3 linked regions of the Elephas maximus indicus genome follow. The protein of the gene in region 2 interacts with the protein of the main gene of each other region in a pairwise test. Links are inferred from orthologs where the notes say so. Each region holds a gene or a part of one and is shown on either strand. Other genes may lie near its edges.

Region 1 (5,981 bases), on a different chromosome or scaffold from region 2:
GTCTGACCCACTGAGATCAGGCTGTGTTGATTATGGGTGCACTTACCCAGGATCCAGGATTTAATGTTAACTGGAGCACCTGAAAGTGTGCGACACTGGTTAATTGAGCTTGAGCTCCACCACACCCCCACAAGCAATACAGATTAAGGGCCAGAATTTCCCTGGCAGCATTGAGGAAGGAATTCAAAGGCCCAGGGAGATGGGAACATCATATATGTGTCCAGACTCCTGCCTGTTGTCCCCATCTAATTATCAAGTGCCCCCAATTTAGGATCATGTGCCACCTGTTCAGCCACCCCCTATCCATGCCACCCTGGAGTACCCAGAGGCCACTTCTTTCACCATGGCTTTAAGAAATGCCCTGGTGAGGGGAGCTCCAGACTCTGTATCAAGCCCAGCGGTGGCTGCCCCTTAGCCTAGAGATGACAGTAGGTTATAACTGGGATGGAACTTGGTCCCCTGATCTCAGTGGGAATAAGGAGAGCCAGAGTGGGAGTGGCAGCACTTAACCATTAAAAGACAATATATTTTTTTAGTGCTTGATATTTATTGAAAAGAATGCAAATGCTTTTTCCAGGTAGTATTGGGCTGAGTACCTGTCTTTGTTTGTTTGTCTGTTTTGGTTTTTGTATTTTGTTGTCCAAATGCACGCATCTGCAGGACTGCTGCAATTTTGAAAGAAAAACAACAGCTGTGCACAACTGATGCGGAGGAGAGAAGAAATGTCCCAATTTGGTGGCCAGACCCCAGCAGCCACCTGGTGGGGCAGGGGAGATGCTGGGAATAGGCAGGGAACTAACCAGGCTGAAAGGCTTGTCTTTGCAAGGGTCAGTGAATTGTCCAAATCAGTGTTCAAGGAGGTGCACCCAACTCAGGCATCTTCTAAGTTGGTCCTTAGCTCCAAAGGTGGTGGACGTCAGTGGGAAGCCGTAGATGGCAGCTTAGGTCTCTGGGCAGATGCAGACCTGGCAGTCAGGTGAGTGGCAGCAGCGGGACTGTGGGTGGTCTGTCCAATTTGTCACCTGGGCCTGGCCTACAGCTGGGGTTCAGGCGACATGCCAAATTGACAGGGAGGGTCCTGGGGCTGGCCAGAACGGGCGGTGGGGAGGTGCCTAGGGATACCCCCGCCCCAGCAGCAGGTTATTGGAGCACTATTCCTGGAACAAAGACAAGCACTACGGGGGATGAAGAGAGAACCAGAGAACCGAAGGGCAGGGAGAGGGAAGGTGACCAAGGAGGACAGGGGACAAGGGTAAGCGCGGCGGCTCAGGAGAGGAGGGTGAGGAGGGTGGCAGCGTGCAAAGCCCTCCCCCCAGGCCCGAAGGGCTCCGGGCCTAGTAATAGTCGTCTTCCTCATCGTCATCGTCGTCGTCGTCGTCGTCGTCATCATCATCATCATCTTCATCATCGTCCCAACCGAAACACTGCTTCAGCTCATCGAGGAAGGCCTGGTAATCTCCTAGGATGGGGCTATCCAGCTCGATGTAAGGAACCACCCACTCTTCCGCTTCCCCGGTCAGGAGGCTAATTAGGAAGGCTACCTTCATGGCGTCGTTGCAGAATCGGTTCTCGTTGACAAGCATGTAGGACGTCGTCTGCACGATAAACTCGGGGAGCCGGGCGCTCTCGCCGCTAAACGTCTCGGGGAAGGGCACCGGGCAGCTGGGCGGACGTACCTGGCGCAGCAGGCTGGCTCTCTCGCACACCAGCAGCCGCAGCTGCTCCATTAGCTGGCTGTTCTCGATGCTCAGGGCCCGGTGCCGCATCAGCAGCGCGTGCAGCAGCAGCACCAGCTCGTCCACCATGGCGAACGCCTTGGAGGGGCTCGGGTCGCTCGGCTCGGCCACGGGCTGCGCGGAGGCCTCGCAGGAAGTGCGTGTCCACCGGGGCGCGCGAGGAGGTGGAGGGGACAGCGCACCGGGGGCCTGGCCACTGCGCAGGCTCCGCCCACTGGTCGCTAGGGCGGCCGGCTGGGCGCGGGGGGCGTGGCATGGATAGGACAGGCAGGGCCGCGGGGGCGAGGCCATGAATGGGCTCGCTGGGGCGTGGGGGCGTGGCTAGGGGCAGGGCTGGCAGGGGCTTCACCAGCCCGCCGGTTTATCCGGGCCGTTAGACACCTGGGTTGTGAGCTGCATTAACCGAGGGCCTAGCAGGCGCCGAGACCTATCTCTCAAGGAGAGCCAACCGGCTCAAATTGAAAGGATTAACAACCACCTTCCCCCCCACACACCCAAAAAAACACAGTTCAGTGTTCCCTTCCTAGGTCTGCAGCCACTAGATTCTATTTGCATGAATTCCACGCACCCAAAGAACTCCTGGCTGCAGAAGTGGGTGTCTTGCAGGATTCACATTCTTTCTGAGACATACACACCCTCAAGGGGTCCTGTCTTTCATGACAAAACAAAATTTAAACGGAATTTACTTGGGAAATGTTGTATAACTCATTTTTTATTTTTCTAAATAGCGAGGTATAAAAAGTTCTGCAAAATCAGAATCTGATAACCCTTTGCAGGCATCCTATTTGTACGTCTAGTTCATGTCTTAATATTGGCGTCCCTTGGCCATTAAGTGTTATTATTATTCTTTGCTTAACAATTAAGACGTTTGTGTTTTTAAATGCATTTGTTTTTCTGCTTTGAAAGTGATTATTCCAGTAGGTGTTGAGCAACTGAGTTGACCCAGGACCTTAGAGTCAACATATCCTGTTGGCTCTGCTTTTAAAATATATCCCCAATTAAATCACTTCTTGTCACCTCTACCACTAACACCCTGGTCTAAGACTTCTTTTTTGCACCCATACTTCCACAACTGATGTCTTAGCTTTCACTCTTACCCTCCTCCTGTAGTATATACCCCACAGAGTAGACACAGGAACCTCTTTAAAACAAAAGTCACCTCATTAAAAAACCAGTTGCTGTCAAGTCAGTCCCGACTCATGACAACCCCATGGGTGTCAGACTAGAACTGTACTCCACAGAGTTTTCAATGGCTGATTTTTGGAAGTAGATTGCCAGGCCTTTCTTCTGAGGTGCCTCTGGGTGGAATTGAACTTCCAATCTATTGGTTAGTAACCAAGTGAGTTTATTGTTTGTGCCCAGGAATACATATTTGCTGTGGTTTCTTATAAAGTTAAACATATACAGTAAAAACCTACGAAAGCTGGAACCTGTGTAAGGGGAAAACCTGTCAGAGAAGGAATACTCAAATATTTTCCACTAATAGAGAGTGATAGGAAACAGTGATAAAAGGGGGTATAACTGCATTCTGTCAAAGATGGAAAACTTGTGAAACCCGGAAAAACAAGGCATTCCACTATAGGACAGAGTAGAACTGCCCCATAAGATTTGCAAGGCTGTAAATGGAAGCAGCGTGTCACATTTTTCTCCTGCTGAGTGGCTGATAGGTTCGAACTGCAAACCTTTCAGTTAGCAGCTAAATGCTTAACCACTGTGCCACTAGGGCTCCTTTCATATGTACCTTGCAACTGAGCAATTCCATTCCTAGTATTTACCCTAAAAGAATAAAAATATATGCTCACAAAGATTTCTGCTAGAATGCTTATAAAGTGTTGGAGACAACACAAATGACCATCAAAAGAAGAATGGATAAAACAACTTGTGGCACATCCTTATAATCAATACCACTCAGCAAGCTGTTAACACACATAAACAAGAATGAATTCCAGAAGCATTATGTTGGCTGAAAGAAGTCAGGCACATAAGCGTGACTATGTGGTTCAATTTATACGAAATCCAAGAAGAGGCAAAACTACTCTGTGGTGACAGAAATCAGAAGAAAGGTTATCTGAGGCTGAATGTATAGGGCAGATTGACTGCAAAGAGGCACAAGGGAACTTTTTGAGGTGGTGAAATGTTCTGTATCTTTACTGTGGTGGTGTTTACATGATTCAATACAATTGTTAAAACCCATCAGACTAAACACTAAAATCTATGCCGCTTGATTTATGTAAATAAACCTACATTTAAAAAAAAAAAAACTGTAGAGAACTGTTTCCAAAGACCTCAACAAAAGAAAAACTAACACAAAAATTCTAAACATAACACAACTGTCATTTAAGTATAAAGACAGAGAAGGTTTTTAGTGCCAGGAATATATTTCCCAGGAGTCATTTTTGAAGATACTGCTAAAGCTCAAATTTTAGCACTCTCTCTCTCTCTCTCTCAAGGTCTAGTCAGGTAAATAGAAGCTACCCTATGCACAGACAGTTCTCTTTTTGTATAATATTTTTGTGCACCATTTCAGAAGGCACGTGATGTCAATTTGTTCCATCACGGATGATGGTAATTTTATCATTTAGTTAAGATGTGTTAGTTAACTAACACCACTCCCCAACAACATGGCTAAAATTTCAGTTACCATGGTATATCAACTGAGTAACAGCATAAAGCCCAGATTTTGCTGTTCATTCTTTAGTCTATATATCACTATGTAAATAACAGATGTACCTCATGGTAAGTGACCAATCACATCACTTCTTTGAAAGTCTGTTGGTGATTGGTCACTGTGTATCTAATAGTTCATGCACAGACAGAAAAGCATGCTAATTATGTTGCCTCTTTGTCTTCCAGTGATAAAGCCATGTGACATTTTATAAAAATAGATAATGGAAGGATGGAATTGGCCAACAAATGACAGCTCAGCAAAGATGTGAAAAATAATACTGAAAGTGAAGTTGGAAAGTGGTTGTGATGAAAGGGAAGAAGCTGTTCCAGAGAAGTGATACTGGGGGGGTAGGGGACAACTTTACATTAAAGGAACTCTTGGAGAAATTTTACATTGAAAGAGCAAAGGATAAAATGTTAGAAGCTGATCCATACTCAGAAAACCCAAAAACCAAACCCAAACCCATTGCCGTCGAGTCGATTCCCACTCATAGTGACCCTATAAGACAGAGTAGAACTGCCCCATAGTTTCTGAGGAGCGGCCTGGTGGATTTGAACTCCCGACCTCTTGGTTAGCAGCTGTAGTACTTAGCCACTATGCCACCAGGGTTTCCATACTCAGAAAGGAGTATGACAATTTGCCAAGGCATATAAAAGATGCTTACTCTGTTCCATAAGTTATACATACAGTGAAAAAAAGAAGTCAAGCATTATTCAAATATTCTTGGTAAGTTTTTTTTTTAAAGAAATAAAACACTTTAATGCTCAATGTTTCTAATGTTTAAAATCACAGTATACAAAATAACTGTTAAGTTAGTACACTGTGCTAAATTTTTATCCTATTAATTTTTTTTTCTCTCTATATTTATAACTAACGCCAAGAGGGTGTTAATATTTTGTGAAAAAAAATTTAAAAGTCACGGAAAATTGTAATTTTCCCCATTGATTATTAAAATAATTTTGCATAATTTCAGTTTGCAAGATTATTTTTATGGCCTCACACTACTGTGCTAAGGGGTTTAATATAACTAATGGGACAGTTGGGGATGAAAGAGAAGTCTTCATGGATAATCACTGACTGAAGCACCAAAGTTGGTGGTTCTCATGAGCTTGATGAGGAGCTGTTGTGATTTTCAATAATCTCAGTGAAGCTCCCAATCACTATCTCAGTCTAATATAACAAAGTCTCAGTCTGATACAACAAAGCAGATGTTTCTCAAGAGCTTAGTAGGAAACCCCTGTGAATCTCATGTCTGCCAATGCACCTGGCTGCAACTGCTCGAAGAGTATGATGGACTGTTCTCTTCCACCTTCTAAATCTTATGTCAGTGCCTCTGACTCATGTTAATTGAGAACCACTTAGGGAATTCTGAGAAATTGTTCCCTGGCTTCTCTTCTGTGATATAATGTAAACCTTAAAATAGCTTGGTGGTCATGGTAGGCAGAATAACAGACACCCAAAGATGTCTGCACCCTAATCCCTGAAACCTGTGAATATGTTACCTTACATGTGGAAAGAGAACTTTGCAGATGGAATTAAGGTTACCTTAAAATGAAGAGATTATCCTGGATTATCCA
Region 2 (7,680 bases):
TTGTGAATTTATCCCTACTCCAAGGTCAGCAGAATGCCTCAGGGCGCTTAATAGGGCCTATCTCAGGCCAAAGGAAATCAACAGCCACTGAAGCCGACTTGGGGGCTGGGAGCACGTTAAAATATACGCAAGTACCTAGCTTTCGCCGAGAGCACCGTTCCTCTCTGGTTCCGGAGATGTGGGCATGCCGTGCAGCTGGCTGCTTCTCCCTGAGGAAACCACGGCCTAACGCTACCACCAGCCTGCCGCAGCCACTCCTGGGAGTGGTGCCTGGGGGTTCCCGGCAATTCAGGTGCGGCAACTCCTCTCCGCTTATGAACTGTCTCTCCCGTCCCCTGCAGCTCAGTCTATTTTCTAACACCGCCTTGGACGTTCAGGGCTCCTTGCTTGTCATAAATATAATCGTTTCACTTGTTTTTTTGGGTCTTTGTTGTAAGAGAAATCGCAGGAAGCACCTGGCTATTCTACCATCTTGGCCGCGCCTCCTATCTTAGTTTTAAAAATCCAAAGCAAATTCAAGAAAATAACTTATCAGCTCTGGGTGGTGGAAAGGTGGGTGTTCACGAGATGCTTCAGCCAAACTCCATCCCTGCTGAGCTTTCAGCCTGTGAAATGGAGCCGCACGGATAGATTACAGCACTAACGTGTGGGGAACTCTTACAACTGCACACCTGGCCTGCAGGAAGCACCAGCTGGAAGTGCTCGCCCTCATCATCCTCCTAGGACAGCACATATAGACTCCGTGGTGAAAGCCTCCAGGAGGACTGAGGTGGGAAGCCTGTTCCTGCTCCTGTTTGCTGATTACACAGGTTCGTCCAGTGGGAAAACCCACTGAGGAAATTTATGATTTACACACTGTTCTGTACACACGTCATATTTCAATAAACACTGCAGAGAAAAAGGAAGGAGAACTTTGCCAAATAAGATTCTGGGCCCAAAAAGAATCTATAAGTCGATAACACAGTCAAAGAACGAGGATTAGTCACCGTGTCTGCTGGCTATAAAGAGGAGTTATCGACTGGAAGTGTCAGTAAATGTCCCTTTCAAAAACAGTAAAAAGGAAAAATAAAGTTAGATATTTTAGTAAAAAAGATATCATGGCGACAACCGTGGAAATCTGAGCGTGACTCAGGTATTACTGCTACATCTGTGAGGTATTATAACTACGTGATGTTTTTTATTTTACTCACGTCTGTGTCTGTTAGAGACGTATCCTAAAATACTCGCAGATGAAAAAAACAGTAACTCTTAGAATACGCCTTAAAGTATTCAAACTGGGGAAAACGAACAAAACTGGCAGAACGCTGACAACTGATGAAGCTGGACGACAAGGTAGGGGCAGCATGATCTTACCCTCTCTAATTCTGCGCGTGTTTGAAATTTTTCTTAATATAAGTAAATCGTAAAGGTTTCATTCTGGACAATACTGCTCCTGATGCGCTAGAAGCCTATTCTTTTCAACATAAGCTCTTCTGTCCTTCCCCCCAGTAAAACTGAAGTAGATATCTAACTGTGGACACTTCTGTGGGAAGCTACTGCTTCACAGAGCTCTCTCCTTGTCAGCCACTCTGCTGGGTCACGGAGGACAAAACTCCACCGCACAGACAGAGCCAGCTGGGATCCTGCCGCTCTCCGCATGTCCCTTACACCCTAACTGCTGGGGCACCAGAACAGAGGGCTTTACCTGCAGTTCTCCTTGAAGCGGCACTTCCCCTCCAGGAAGAATGGGCAGGGCTTCAGGGACTTGTGTGTGGGGTAGAGGTACAGCACCCGGACAGCAGCCGAGCCATCCTCTGCCTGTTCCGTGCCCACAATCATGGCATTGTGGTACTCCAGGGTGCCCCATGGGCTGTAGTAGGGGGCGTTCACCTTTGTCCCACTCAACTCTTCCTCCTCGTCATCCCCCCCTTCTTCTTCCTCTTGCCCAGGGTTGTTGGGTTCAGGCCCTGCCTCTCCTTTAGAAACAGTCTCCAATTCTGCTCCTGGGGCTTCTGGTACCTCAACTACCTCAGAGATGGTCTTCTGCAAAGCCAGGTACTCAGTATCCTCCTGGGCCAGGTGTTCTTGGTCCAGTGTAGCCAACAGTTTGCTCTTCCTGACAGACACCAAGCTGGCTTCAGTGAGCTTGATCAGCTCCTTCAGGTCTCCCTGCAGCTGGTGCAGGTCAGCCTGCTCCGATGCCTCCAGGCCAGTACCCATGGCCAGCTCCACTTGCTGAAGCTGCACATGGTAGGTCTGCAAGGCCATCTCCAAGCTGTCCTCATCCATCCTGCCGTCGAGGACACGGAGGTGTGTCCCTAGGTCCTCAGAGAGGAGGCTGCCGGAGCCAGAGCTGCAATGAGAAGGCAAATGAGCCCCGAAGTCTGCTGCCCTCATCCCGACACCACCCTGTAAGGCTGAAGCTGACTGAGCACCGGTTTGGCCGTGCTCTGTGCAGAGCCTTACTCACACGGTCTCAAGAAACTCTCAGACAGGCCGTGAAACAGCTCGGCGATTTCTCCCGTTGAAGGATGAGAATGCCGACAAGGGGGAGAACCAGCAAGGAATCCCATCCGATGGCCCCACAACCTCGTTTCCGCCGACGAAGAGCTACGCTTCCCTCCCAAGGCCTCCCTGGGATCATGCGTCGGGCTTGACCGGGGTTCTCCGTGTCCTGTCTGAGCTCGGGGCTCCCTGGTAGGCGACCAGAGAAGCCCGCGTCAGCTCCCCTCAGTCCGGCCCGCGACCCTCGGCCCAGTCAGCCCTCGGAGCCGGCCTCAACTCCCCCTGGGCCGCCCTGAGTACCCTTCGGGCCGACTCCGTTCTCCCGGGTCCACGCCCACCTCCGCGCCACCTCTCACCTCAGGCTCAGGCCCCGTCCCCTCAGAGCACGGTCCCCCCATCGCCCCGCGCGGTTACCCAGCAGCCGCCATAGAGCACCGCCCGCCTCACCGGCTAGAGCGGTCGGGCGACCCTCCTTCCGCCCTCGCACCTACCACCACTTCCGCCCTCGCGCCGCCGCCGCCGGAAGTGCGCGGCGCAGAGGCCGCCGGGAAGCGGTGCGCGGGGGCCGCCGGGAGCGGGTCTGGGTGGCCGAGGCGTCCCAGCAGGCGCAGCGCGGGGTCAGGTGCGGGTCGGGCGGCGGCTCGAGGCCCGCGGACAGGTAGGTCGCGCGTCCCGGCCGCCCCTCCCGCCGGCGTGAGGGCCAGGGGCAAGGCCATGGCAGTTCGCTGTTCTTGACAGGAACTCGGAACTCAGGGTCTGCGTGGGCGGCGGGGCTTTGGGCGCCGGGAGCCTCCGCCTCGGACGCCCGGGCCGGCCTTTCGCGGCCACCGCCGCCTCCAGGGGTGCTGCCCTGCGAGATCGACCCCAGCGGCTGCCGCAGCCCCGGCCCTGTGGCTTGTCTCCAAAGAACGGACGTCCCTTTCTCGTAGCCTCCTGTGGCTCCTGGCGAGTGCTGGCTCGAGGTGGGCGAGCAGGCCTGCGCCCTGGCACAGCCGGAACTTAAAGAGCTTTCGGTTGCCCAGGCTGAGTGGGAGCGACCGTGTTCCAGGACCCGCGTGTGAGAAAGCTGAGCTTGAGCGGAGTGCGGCCTGGTGGCCGGGCGCTCAGCGCCCGAGGGCGTGTGCCTGCGCGTTCGCACACGTGGCTGGGGTCCTCCGCGTACCGGGAGGGCGAATCAGGGATGGGACAAGAGTCCACATACGTCCTGAAAGGCCACAGTCGTTGTTGTGAGCGGAGTGACCTGGAGAGGCCAGGGCTAGGACTGAGGAACTCCGTGAGTGGTCCTGGGAAGGCTGTTGGCCACCAGGTGGTGGCAGTGGAGAAGGAGGAAGCAGGCCAGTTTGGGAGAAGTGGAGGCAGAGTCAGGAAGCTTGCTGAAGAGGTGGTGGAGCAGGGGTCAAGAGTGGCCCCTGGGGTCCTGGTCTGAGCAGTTGGCAGGACAGACCACGGATGGGGTGCTGTGTCCCAGCTGTGGAAGCTGGTGGGCAGTGAGGTGTGGGTTGGGCCACCCCTGACTGATTTGGGCGTCTCAAGGCAGGATGTACACGCTGCTGTCGGGCCTGTACAAGTACGTGTTCCAGAAGGACGAATACTGCATCCTCATCCTGGGCCTGGACAATGCCGGAAAGACGGTGCGTGCTGGGGCCCTTTTGGTTTTAGGCCTTCAGCTGCACACTGACCACCGAGACAGATGTTGAACCCCTTTTGAGGCCACAGGAAGGTCACCCCCCAGTTCCTCTCACATTGATCTGCCTTCTCAGGAGTGGGCCCAAGAAGGGACATATGGGAGGCAAACTTGGAAATTGGCTCTGCCTGCTGGCTGATGGTGTCTTCCCTCCTCAGACTTTCCTGGAGCAGTCAAAAACCCGGTTTAACAAGCATTACAAAGGGATGAGCCTGTCCAAGATCACCACCACCGTGGGCCTGAACAGTAAGTTGGGCCTTCAGGCTGCTCGTGTGGGGTGCTGAGCCCTGGGACGCTGCAGGGCCCCTCACGTGCCTGTGGGCAGCCTGCTCTTCTGAAACACAAGTGTGGGGGAGGTGGGAGATTCAGAGGAACAGGGTCACAGCCTTGTGCTCTCCTTCCCCAGTCGGCACTGTGGATGTGGGGAAAGCACGCCTCATGTTTTGGGACCTAGGGGGGCAGGAGGAGCTGCAGTCACTGTGGGACAAGGTGAGCTGCCGTGGGAAAGCGTGTGAGTGTGTGTGTGTGTGAGTGTGTCTCTGTATGTGTAGAGAGCTTGGGCCCCGCCACCCCACCTCTCCAGGCACCACCTGCCGCCACCCCTTTCCTCTCCGGACAGTGCCCCTTGTTCTCAACCGCCCTCAGGACCTGACTCAGCCTCTTTCCATCTCGTTAGCAGCTGCTTCATCCACTTTGTTCCTGAGGTTTCTCTTCCTGATCCTACCTCAGGCTGCCTAGTTGCTTCCCCAGAAGCAAGGAAGTCCTTGGTTGTTCTTAGCTTAAAAATTTTGTTGCTAATGATCACGAGACATGGACAAGTGACAGCCGAGGACTCAGTGCGGGCAAGTTGCAGAGGCTCTGTGGTGCTTAGCTGGTGGCCACTTCCAAGTCTCTTCTGATGGGTTTGAGCGTCTCCTCCCTCAACTTGGGCTTCAGTCAGCAAGACCTGTTTTTGCATGGTGGTTTCTTCTCTTCAGGGGGACGGCTTCCTCAGAGGTGGACAGCAATGCCTTCTCTTTTGACGTGGGTTTTGGGCACTTTGGAGGTCTCAGCATGGGGCTCTTCTGCCCCTACACCCCAAGACAACCCACACGGGATAGAGTTGGTCTTCAGCTCAGCCGTGTGCCTGCAGTGAGCAGACAGACCAGCCCCTCCCACAGAGAGCCCCTCTTCTCAGATTGGTGTGGGGCAGGACGCAGAGGTCCCCGCCCTGATACCTGCCAGTTGCCTCTGTGTGGGACCAAGTGCCGAGTGCTGGTTTCTCACCCCAGCAACAGGCATCCAGCAGTGTTCCTCCTGCCTGGCTTCAGCTGAGAGAGCGGCTGTCTTGCCAGCCAGAAGCTCTTGGCGTGCTCCGTGTGACCACCGGCACTGGCCGGAGGCTCTTGGCGTGCTCCGTGTGACCACCGGCACTGGCCGGAGGCTCTTGGCGTGCTCCGTGTGACCACCGGCACTGGCCGGAGGCTCTTGGCCTGCTCCGTGTGACCACCGGCACTGGCCGGAGGCTCTTGGCCTGCTCCGTGTGACCACCGGCACTGGCCGGAGGCTCTTGGCCTGCTCCGTGTGACCACCGGCACTGGCCGGAGGCTCTTGGCCTGCTCCGTGTGACCACCGGCACTGGCCGGAGGCTCTTGGCCTGCTCCGTGTGACCACCGGCACTGGCCGGAGGCTCTTGGCCTGCTCTCTGTGACCACCGGCACTGGCCGGAAGCCCTTGGCCTGGTTTTTGTGACCACCAGCACTGGCTGGAAGTTCTGGGCCTGCTCTCTCTGACCACTGGCACTGGCCAGAGGCTGACCGAGCCCAGGGCTCTCCTTATCAGAACACCAGACGCACATGGGAAGTAGAATAGGCCACATGGGATACATTTCCTTGTCACAGGCCAGGTTCTCAAGCAGACACAGACTGGGGCGCGGGGTGTTTATTGAAGATCAATACCTGGGAATAGAGCGGGGAAGATGCAGCCGTGGGTAAAGTGAGAAGTCATGCTTCAGTGCAGGTCCGGGAAGGTGTGGTCTGGCAGGCTGGCCCTTTGCAGATCCTGGAGAGCTGAGAGTAGGGCTTTCTGCAGGCACTCTGTCTGTGGCCGGCAGTGGCTGTGCTGCCTGGGCCACTGTGCACACGTGAGGTGGCTCCTCTGGGGTCCCAGCGGTCTTTCCTCATTTTCCGTCTGCTGACCTTCTGGGGCCTTATTGTGCTCAGCTGCCATGTCCGCTGGCCCCAGTGGCTTACCTGGCAGAATGACCCAGAGTCCGCAGCAAGCCCTGGGCACCGAGCCTTCCCCATGTGCAGTCCTGGGGTGGGGCACCCAGTCCCGCATGTGTTCCCCCAGCGCTGTGGACTGCAGCCCTGCCTCCTGCAGCTGGGCTCAGTTACCTCTACACGAGGCGTCTCCTTTTGGTAACTGGGGTCCCTGGACACAAGCCCAAAGTGGTGCAGCCAGAGTTTGTAGTTGACTTGCCTTGCCGTGTCCTCTAGTGAGAGTGCCCTTTAGGGACCCAGGCCTCAGGGTGGAGGGCCAGTGGCACCGGCCCCAGCATATCACTGGAAGGGGAGGGCCAACCCCCTGCTTCCTCCCCGGTTCCCAGACCTGTGTGTCCTTGAGGGAGAGGGGAGGTATGCACCACCTGAAGGTACTTCCTGCAGGAACTCCACGTGAAGGTCCGTGATCAGTGAGTCTGCTGTGTTCTGGAGCTTGTACCGTAGCAGAGGGCGGTGCCTAGGTGTGAGCACATATAACGAGTGGCTAGCTGCCAGTCATAGTCTAGCTGGTACCTCCTTTTCTGGGGAGTCCCAGTCTAATGTGATGTGACAACATCCGTACTGGTGTTTGACCCGGTGAGCCCTCAGTGCTGCTGGAGAGTGTCCTTGGGCAGGGAAGACAGACTTACACGCAGTACACACGTCTGCAGGAGAGTGGGAGAGGCCCAGTGTAGTCAGCCTGCCGGCATGGGCCCAAAGGCTCCTAGAGCAGTGACACCCCACCAGAGCTCCACACTGTTCTCTACTACTGCAGGGTGTGTGGTTGGCAGCAGTTTTCTCAACCTTGTCAGCCACTGTGGGCCCCTGTGTGCATGCACCCATCACATAGCATGGGCAGCTTAGTCGGGCTGGCCACAACGTTTTTGTCGCTGGTGGGTGCACTGGTGGTCCTTGGTGTAGGGTGCAGGCCTCTCCGTGGGCCGAGTTTGCTACTCCATGCCTACTGCCTGATACTTGTCCCAGGCTTCGTGGTGCCTGCTCTTCTGGCCTGGCCGTGTGCCACCACCTATGGGCTCTATGCCACCACCTGTCTGGCCTGCATCCACACATCGAGCTGGCCTGCCTGCACACCAGCCACGAGTCTTTCTCTTTCTGCTGGTTGCACAGGGCGCCCCATCAAGGCATTTCTGGGGCTGGTGGCCTTAAGCAGTCGTCACCCTGCACAGGCCAGAGAAGCTGTCTGTGTGCAGGACTTGCTGCTTCCAGGGTCTGAGGAGGCCACCAGATGCTGGCAGGAGGTGCAGGATGCAT
Region 3 (7,746 bases), on a different chromosome or scaffold from region 2:
GGCTCAGAGAAAGGATCACAAACCAGGCAAGGGAAAGTAGCACAAGCCCTGTGGTAATGGATGGGAACTGAAGGTGTCAGTGCAAATTCATAGGTACACAGATGTAGAAATAGACAGGTGTGTATGATATATACAAAGATGTATTTCCCTGCTCTGTCCCTTGAGAAGGCCAAGGAGCAATGACACCCCAGAAGCAGCGAGCACACCCAGTACCCAGATGTCTAAACACCGTCCTCAACTAAAAGGAACTAGAGAATAGCTGATTCCAGGGCTAGTCCAGGAGAGCACAAGATGAGCCTGGGACATCTGTGGTACCAGAAAGTAAAGAAGTGCTCCGGAAGAGGACCCAGAGGCCAACCTGAAGGGCTCCCAATGGCCAAATATGGGACAATCCAACCAACAAAATCAATGATAGTACTAGATTACAACCCATGGAATAAAATCACAATCCATGAGTTACGGACTAGTACACATACCCTACACAAAATACATAGACTAATATACGAATAGCTGGAGCCCTGGTGACCCTGTGGTTAAGAGCTCGGCTGTTAACCAAAAGACCAGCAGTTCAACTCCACCAGCCGCTCCTTGGAAACCCTATGGGGCAGCTCTACTCTGACCTACAGGGTCACCACTCAACAGCAATGGGTTTTTTTTTTTTTTTTAATATATGAATATATAAAAAATACACCAATACACAAAAATAAATGAATAAATAGATAAATGGGGGAGACGGGAAGGTTCTTCCTTACAGTTGTTGTTAGGTACCATGGAGTCAGTTCCGACTCATAGTGACCTTACAGTAGAATTTCAAATTACAAATGTAGAACGAATATGGAATAGACAGATATACATTAACAGCTGCTTCAGGCAAAACTCAGCTCATGATGCTAAAGCTAATGGTAGGAAGAACAGCGTGAAACAAGATACTTCCATAGTCTCAAAATATTCCCTCACAGATATATTTATCATTTACAAGAGAGAACAGCAACTGTACAGTGGAGAGGCCTGGCAGACGCGCTCACACCAAGTGATCGAAGTCAGCATCACCACGAATGGGACCAGTCAGTGTCACAGGCCTCCTGACAAGCTACACTGAGAAAAACACTGCTTCGCTTTTGAGATTTCCTTACATCAAAGGAAACTGAAACCAAGGGGCATCCTACAAAATTGCTAGCTAGAGCTCTGCAAATGTGTCAGGGTTGTGAAAGACACAGAGGCCGAGGAAAGGCTGCCGATTGAAGAAGGCGAAGAAAACACAGCAGCTAAACGCAAGGCGCAGCCACAACAACGGACTCAAACACACCAACGATGGTCAACGTGGTGCGGGACCAGGTGACGTTCCGTTCCGTTGTGCCTAAGGTAACCCTGAGTCGGAGAAACTCGATGGCAACAACCAGCCACCACCACCACCACCACAAAAGCAATGCAGGGTCCTGGACTGGATCCTGGGTCAGAGTGAAGTCCTCACAGAGATAGCTGCTAAGTTTGAATACAGCCTGGTACCCCTCGCCTTCGAGTCGACTCAGACTCATCGCGACCCTATAGGACAGAACAGAACTGCCTCCGTGGAATATCCAAAGAGCACCTGGTGGATTCAAACTGCCGACCTTTTGGTTAGCAGCGGTAGCACTTAACCACTACACCACCAGGGTTTCCTACCGCCTGATATCAATGTTAATTTCCTGACTTTTGGTACGTGAACTGTGTAAGAAGTTAACATTTTTTAGGAAACTGCTTGAAAAGTGCTCAGAAATTCTTTGTACTATTTTTGCAACTTTTCTGTAGGTCCTAAATAACTGGGGGGGGGGGGGGGGGTGGGTCAGACTCTGGAGCCAGACTGCCTAGGGTTGGCCCCCTTTACTGGCTGTAGAACTTGGGCAAATGATCTTATTTCTGTGTGTGGCACCTTCATCGTCTGTAAAAAGGCAATAACCATGCCCTGCCATCAGGTTATTGGGTTTGTTTTTTTTTTCCCCAAATAACGACAAAACACAAAGCACTATAGCAGGAAGCTTCGGTGCCAGGTTCCCATCCTTCCACCCGCACTTCATCAACCCAGGAAGTAATAGCAGTGTCGTCTACCACTGGGAGCAGAGAGGGGGAAGAAGGGCAAACAGCAGTCAGTGAGCTTCCGGGGCGCTCGGGTGGACCCGCGCTGTTCCAGCATTCTGCTGTTGTTGTTCCAGGCCTTGCAGTCGGTTCCGACTCACAGCGACCCTGTGCACAAAAGGAAACACTGCCCGGTCCTGCGCTATGCCCACAATCGCTGCTACGTCCGAGCCCACTGTTGCAGCCACTGTGTCAATCCTTCTCGTTGAGAGTCTCTTTTTTGCTGACCCTCCACTTTCCCAAGTGTGATGTCCTTCTCCAGGGACAGGTCCCTCCCGACAACATGTCCAAAGCAGTAAGACCGACTAGAACCAGAATGTTCCAGCATTCTAGCTGATACTATGTCCCCACTTCACAGGTGAGGGTGAAGAACTGTCCGGGCCGCGCCTGGCCGCGCCGGCGGACCCCGAGCCCGAGCCCGGCCGCGCCGGCGGACCCCGAGCCCGAGCCCGGCCGCGCCGGCGGACCCCGAGCCCGAGCCCGGCCGCGCCGGCGGACCCCGAGCCCGAGCCCGGCCGCGCCGGCGGACCCCGAGCCCGAGCCCGGCCGCGCCGGCGGACCCCGAGCCCGAGCCCGGCCGCGCCGGGGCGGTCACCGTCGGACACCGCGTTCCTGAGGAGCGATGTCCCCCGAGACGTGGAGGTCACGGGCTTCTGCACAGAGTGTGGCCAGCAGGCGGCGATCTGCAGGCCGAGGACGCGGTCCTCGCACGTTACCCGCCCCGGCGACCCTGTCTCTCCGCCGCGTCCGGGTCGCCAAGCCCCGCTCCTCCCCGTCCCCGCGCCGCGGCTCACCGGGATCTTCTGTCCGCCGCTGCCGCCAGTCCCCCCGCGTTGCCATGACGACTCGGTCCTTCGGCCGCGGCCGGGCGCGCTCCGTGCGCCGCTGGGCTCCGCCGGGCGGAAACGCGAACCCCGGCTCCGGGTTCCGGCTCGCGGCCGCCGCCACTCAAAACAACGAAGAGGAGTCCCGGGAAAAGGGCCTGGGCGACAGCCTGCCCGGCTCCCCCGGCCTGCTGCCTCGTACACTTAGCCCGGGCCGGCTTCCGCACCAGTCCGTGGGCCCCTCAGGACAGAGCTCCTGTTCGAGGGGAGCGGCCGCTGGTCGCCGGGTCCGCTCCAGGACCGGGTGCACCAAAGGGTGCCCGCGCTACCTCGCCCCGGCCCGGCCCCCAGAGCCACAGCACATCGGGGGCCAAGTCCATGTCCCGCAGTGAGCCCAGGCCTGGGGCCGGGAGATCCCACGGAGCGGACACAGCCCTCGGTGGCAATGAGGTCCCGGCAGAGGGGACAGCGCCCCTTCCGTGGGTCGGGGTCTGCGTCCTGGCCCTGCGTGCCTCAGTGGGGCCAACCTGCGAAGTGGGGTCGACGAGAGCTCTGCACACTCCCTGACCCTGTGGTGACTGTGACCATCCCTGCAGCCCAGCCAAGGGTGCCAGGCCCTCAAGCTTCACAGCTGGCTGACCAAGAACTTGGGCTCCGGGACCTCGATTCCTGAGTTCTAATCCCAGTCTGACTTGGTCGAGGATGTTATAGATTGAATTGTGTCCCCCAAAAATGTTTGTCAACTTGGCTAGGCCATGATTCCCAGTATCATGTCATTGTTCACCATTTTGTCATCTGCTGTGATCTCCCTGTTGTTAGGTGCCATCAAGTCAGTTCTGACTCATAGAGACCCTATGAATGAAACACTGCCCAGTCCTGCACCATCCTCACAATCATTCTGCTTAAACCCTCTGTTGCAGCCACTGTGTCAATTCATCTCATTTAGGGTCTTCCTCTTTTTCGCCAACCCTCTATTTTACCAAGCATGATGTCCTTCTCCAGGGACTGATCCCTCTTGACAACATGACCAAAGTATGTGAGACACAGCCTTGCCATCCGTGCTTCTAAGGAGCATTCTGGCTGTACTTCTTCTAAGATAGATTTGTTCATCCTTTTGGCAGTCCATGGTATATTCAAGATTCTTCACCAACACAATTCAGAGGTATCAACTCTTCTTCAGTCTTCTTTATTCATTGTCCAGCTTTCACCTGCATAGAAGGGGGTTGAAAACACCATGGTTTGGGTCATGAGCACCATAGTCTTCAGGGTGACATCTTTGCTCTTCAGCACTTTGAAGAGGTCCTTTGCAGCAGATTTGCCCAATGCAATGCGTCTTTTGATTTCTTGACTGCTGCTTCCATGGCTGTTGATTGTGGACCCAAGTAAAATTAAATCCTTGACAGCTTCAATCTTTTCTCCATTTATCATGATGTTGCTTATTGGTCCAGTTGTGGGGATTTTTGTTTTCTTTATGTTGAGGTGTAATCCATACTGAAGGCTGTGGTCTTCGATCTTCATCAGTAAGTGCTTCAAGTCCTCATCACTTTCAGCAAGCAAGGTTGTGTCATCTGCATAAGGCAGGTTGTTAATGAGTCTTCCTCCAGCTTCTCGTATTATTTGCTCAGCATACAGACTGAATAGGTATGGTGAAAGGATATAACCCTGACACACCCCTTTCCTGACTTTAAACCATGCAGTCTCCCCTTGTTCTGTTCCATCAGCTGCCTCTTAGTCTCTGTACAGGTTCTGCATGAGCACAATTCAGTGCTCTGGAATTCCCATTCTTTGCAATGTTATTCATACTCTGTTATGATCCACACAGACAAAAAACTTTGCATAGTCAATAAAACACAGGTAATATTTCTGGTATTCTCTGCTTTACAGGTAGGATCCATCTGACATCAGCAATGATATCCCTTGTTCCATATCCTCTTCTGAATCCAGCTTGAATTTCTGGCAGTTCCCTGTCAATGTACTGCTGTAGCCATTTTTGAATTATCTTCAGCAGAATTTTACTTGCAAAAAAAACACCCAGTTTTTTTTTTTTTTTTTTGCAGTGTGACATAAATGATATTGTTCAATAATTTTCACGTTCTGCTGGATCTCCTTTCTTTGGAATGGGCACAAATATGGATCTCTTCCTGTTGGCTGGCCAGGTAGTTGTCTTCCAAATTTCTTGGCATAGACAAGTGTGTACTTCCAGTGCTGTATCCGTTTGTTGAAACTTTTCAGTTGGTATTCCATCAATTCCTGGAGCCTTGTTTTTCACCCATGCCTTCAGTGCAACTTGGATTTCTTCCTTCAGTACCATTGGTTCCTGCTTATATGGTACTTCCTGAAATGGTTGAACATCAACCAATTCTTTCTGGTATAATGACTGTGTATTTCTTCTATCTTCTTTTGATGCTTCCTGAGTCATTTGATATTTTCCCCATTGAATCCTTCAATATTGCAACTGAAGGCTTTAATTTTTTTTTCAGTTCTTTCAATTTGATAAATGCAGAAAGCGTTCTTGCCTTTTGGTTTTCCATCTCCAGCTCTTTCCACATGTCATTATAATACTTTACTTTGTCTTCTAGAGCTGCCCTTTGAAATCTTCTGTTCAACTCTTTTACTTCATCATTTCTTCCTTTCGCTTTAGCTACTCAACGTTCAAAAGCAAGTTTCGGAGTCTCTTCTGACGTCCATCTTGGTCTTTTCTTTCTTTCCTGTCTTTTTAATGACCTGTTGCTTTCTTCATGTATGATATCCTTGATGTCGTTCCACACAACTCGTCTGGTCTTTTGGTCACGAGTGTTCAACACATCAAATCTGTTCTTGAGATGGTCTCTAAATTCAGGTGGGATATACTCAAGGTCATACTTTGGCTCTCGTCAACTTGTTCTAATTTTCTTCAGTTTCACCTTGAACTTGCATATGAGCAACTGATGGTCTGTTCCACAGTCAGCCCCTGGTCTTGTTTTGACTGATGATATTGAGCTTTTCTATTGTCTCTTTCCACAGATGTAGTCGATTTGATTCCTGTGTATTCCACCTGGAGAAGGCCATGTGTATAGTTGCCATTTATATTGGTGAAAAAACGGTATTTGCAATGAAGAAGTCATTGGTCTAGCAAAATTCTGTCATGTGATCTCCAACATCATTTCTATCACCAAGGTCATATTTTTCAAGTACCAATCCTTCTTCTTTGTTTCTGACTTTTGAATTCCAATCTCCAGTAACTATCAATGCATCTTGGTTGCCTGTTCGATCAATTTCAGACTGCAAAAGCTGGTAAAAATCTTCAATTTCTTCATTTTTGGCCTCAGTGGTTGGTGTGTAAATTTGAATAATAGTCCTATTAACTGGTCTTCCTTATAGGCATATGGATATTATCCTATCACTGACAGCATTGTACTTCAGGATAGATAATGTAATGTTCTTTTTCATGGTGAATGCAACACAATTCCTCTTTGTCATTCCTGGCATAGTAGACCATATGATTGTCCAATTCAAAATGGCCAATACCAGTCCATTTCAGCTCATTAATGGCTAGGACCTTCCCATGTGTTGAAAATCCTACTTCTATGATGTTAATGAGGCAGGAGTCAATCTACAAGGTTAGGCTGTGTCTTGAGTCAATGCCTTTTGAGACATTAAAGAGAGAAGCCAGCAGAGAGACAGGGGGACCTCTTGCCACCAAGAATGAAGGACCAGGAGGGGAGCATGTCTTTTGGACCCGAGGTCCTTGTGCTGAGAAGCTTCTAGACCCGGGGGAAGATTGATGACAAGGACCTTCCCCCAGAGCCGACAGAGAGAGAAAGCCTTCTCCTGGATCTGTTGCCCTGAAACTGGACTTCTAGTCTCCTAAACTGCAAGAGAATAAATTTTCCTTTGTTAAAGCAATTCACTTGTGGTATTTCTGTTATAGCAGCACTAGAAAACTAAGGGGAGGACCCCGACCCAGGGTGACCCCGTGCACAACGCTGCTAACCTTAAATATGACCCTGTTTGGGAATAAGGGGTTTTCTTTTGTCATGTTAACGAAGGCACACCAGCATAGGGTGAGTCCTAAACCTAATCTGAGGGGTGTCTCATAAAAAGAGCAAAATAGACACAGAGACACACAGGGGAAAATAGACACCACGTGAGGATCATCTGCGAGCCCAGACCCTGATTTGGACTTTCAGCCTCCAGAACTGTGAGAAAACAAATTTCTGTACTTGTGGCATTTGGGTTACAGCAGCTCTAGGTAACTAAGACAGTTCTGTAACTTGCCCCTGTTTACCGACAAGCAAACCGAAGTATTGTACTGCCCAGCACAGCGATGTCGACACACGTCAGCTGGTTCCATCATCCATGGCGCAAACAAGGGAAGAGGAAGGCCAAAAGGCCATCACCTGGGGGGTTGGGCCTGCAGCTCTCAGGATGCTACTGACTGACCACTGGGTGGGCACCCTGGCCCAGCAGCTGGGATGACCCTCCCAGGGCAATGCACCAGGGAGGCAGGGAGCCCAGGGCTGCCCAAGGACGCCCAGCCCTAATCACCCACGACCACTGGGCCTTTCTTCCAATTTCTGGCTGCTAGGTTTGTGGTACTGGTGGTCATCCCCAGTGGGAACCTCTGCCTCCAGGCTGCCTGGAGTCCCGTGAGTACAGGGCAAGGGGCAAGAGGCGTGGGTGGAGCCTAGCCTGAGCAAGTCACTTCCCCTGCTTTGGACCACGTCCTGCCCTAGGCCTGCCTGGCCACTTCTCCATCTGCCCAGCCGTCTGCTCACAGGCCCTGGAGGCAGGAGGGGAGCCCAGAACCACACCCAAGGCATGGCTTCCT

What was found. The genes of interacting proteins can lie anywhere in the genome.
Region 1: the proteins of ZGPAT (region 2) and LDOC1 interact in binary tests that used the Homo sapiens proteins (3 or more experiments, as listed by UniProt). The two-hybrid records come from large-scale screens. The link is inferred for Elephas maximus indicus from reciprocal best matches to the Homo sapiens genes ZGPAT and LDOC1.
Region 3: the proteins of ZGPAT (region 2) and CCDC57 interact in binary tests that used the Homo sapiens proteins (3 or more experiments, as listed by UniProt). The two-hybrid records come from large-scale screens. The link is inferred for Elephas maximus indicus from reciprocal best matches to the Homo sapiens genes ZGPAT and CCDC57.

What each region holds. Positions count from the first base shown.
Region 1 is NC_064846.1:14,503,379-14,509,359, forward strand, and holds LDOC1 (protein LDOC1), read right to left. Parts: upstream 1,921-5,981; 5' UTR 1,806-1,920; coding exon 1,335-1,805; 3' UTR 517-1,334; downstream 1-516. UniProt on the Homo sapiens protein: May have an important role in the development and/or progression of some cancers.
Region 2 is NC_064843.1:4,354,540-4,362,219, forward strand, and holds the start of ZGPAT (zinc finger CCCH-type with G patch domain-containing protein), read right to left. Parts: upstream 3,004-7,680; 5' UTR 2,976-3,003; exon of another isoform or gene 2,932-2,975; intron 2,925-2,931; exon of another isoform or gene 2,841-2,924; intron 2,674-2,840; 5' UTR 2,553-2,673; coding exon 2,452-2,552; exon of another isoform or gene 2,450-2,451; intron 2,333-2,449; coding exon 1,685-2,332; intron 1-1,684. Other genes in the region: ARFRP1 (ADP-ribosylation factor-related protein 1), read left to right, coding at 4,023-4,115, 4,327-4,414, 4,575-4,657. UniProt on the Homo sapiens protein: Transcription repressor that specifically binds the 5'-GGAG[GA]A[GA]A-3' consensus sequence. Represses transcription by recruiting the chromatin multiprotein complex NuRD to target promoters.
Region 3 is NC_064837.1:72,005,983-72,013,728, forward strand, and holds the start of CCDC57 (coiled-coil domain-containing protein 57), read right to left. Parts: upstream 3,017-7,746; 5' UTR 2,953-3,016; coding exon 2,907-2,952; intron 1-2,906. UniProt on the Homo sapiens protein: Pleiotropic regulator of centriole duplication, mitosis, and ciliogenesis. Critical interface between centrosome and microtubule-mediated cellular processes. Centriole duplication protein required for recruitment of CEP63, CEP152, and PLK4 to the centrosome.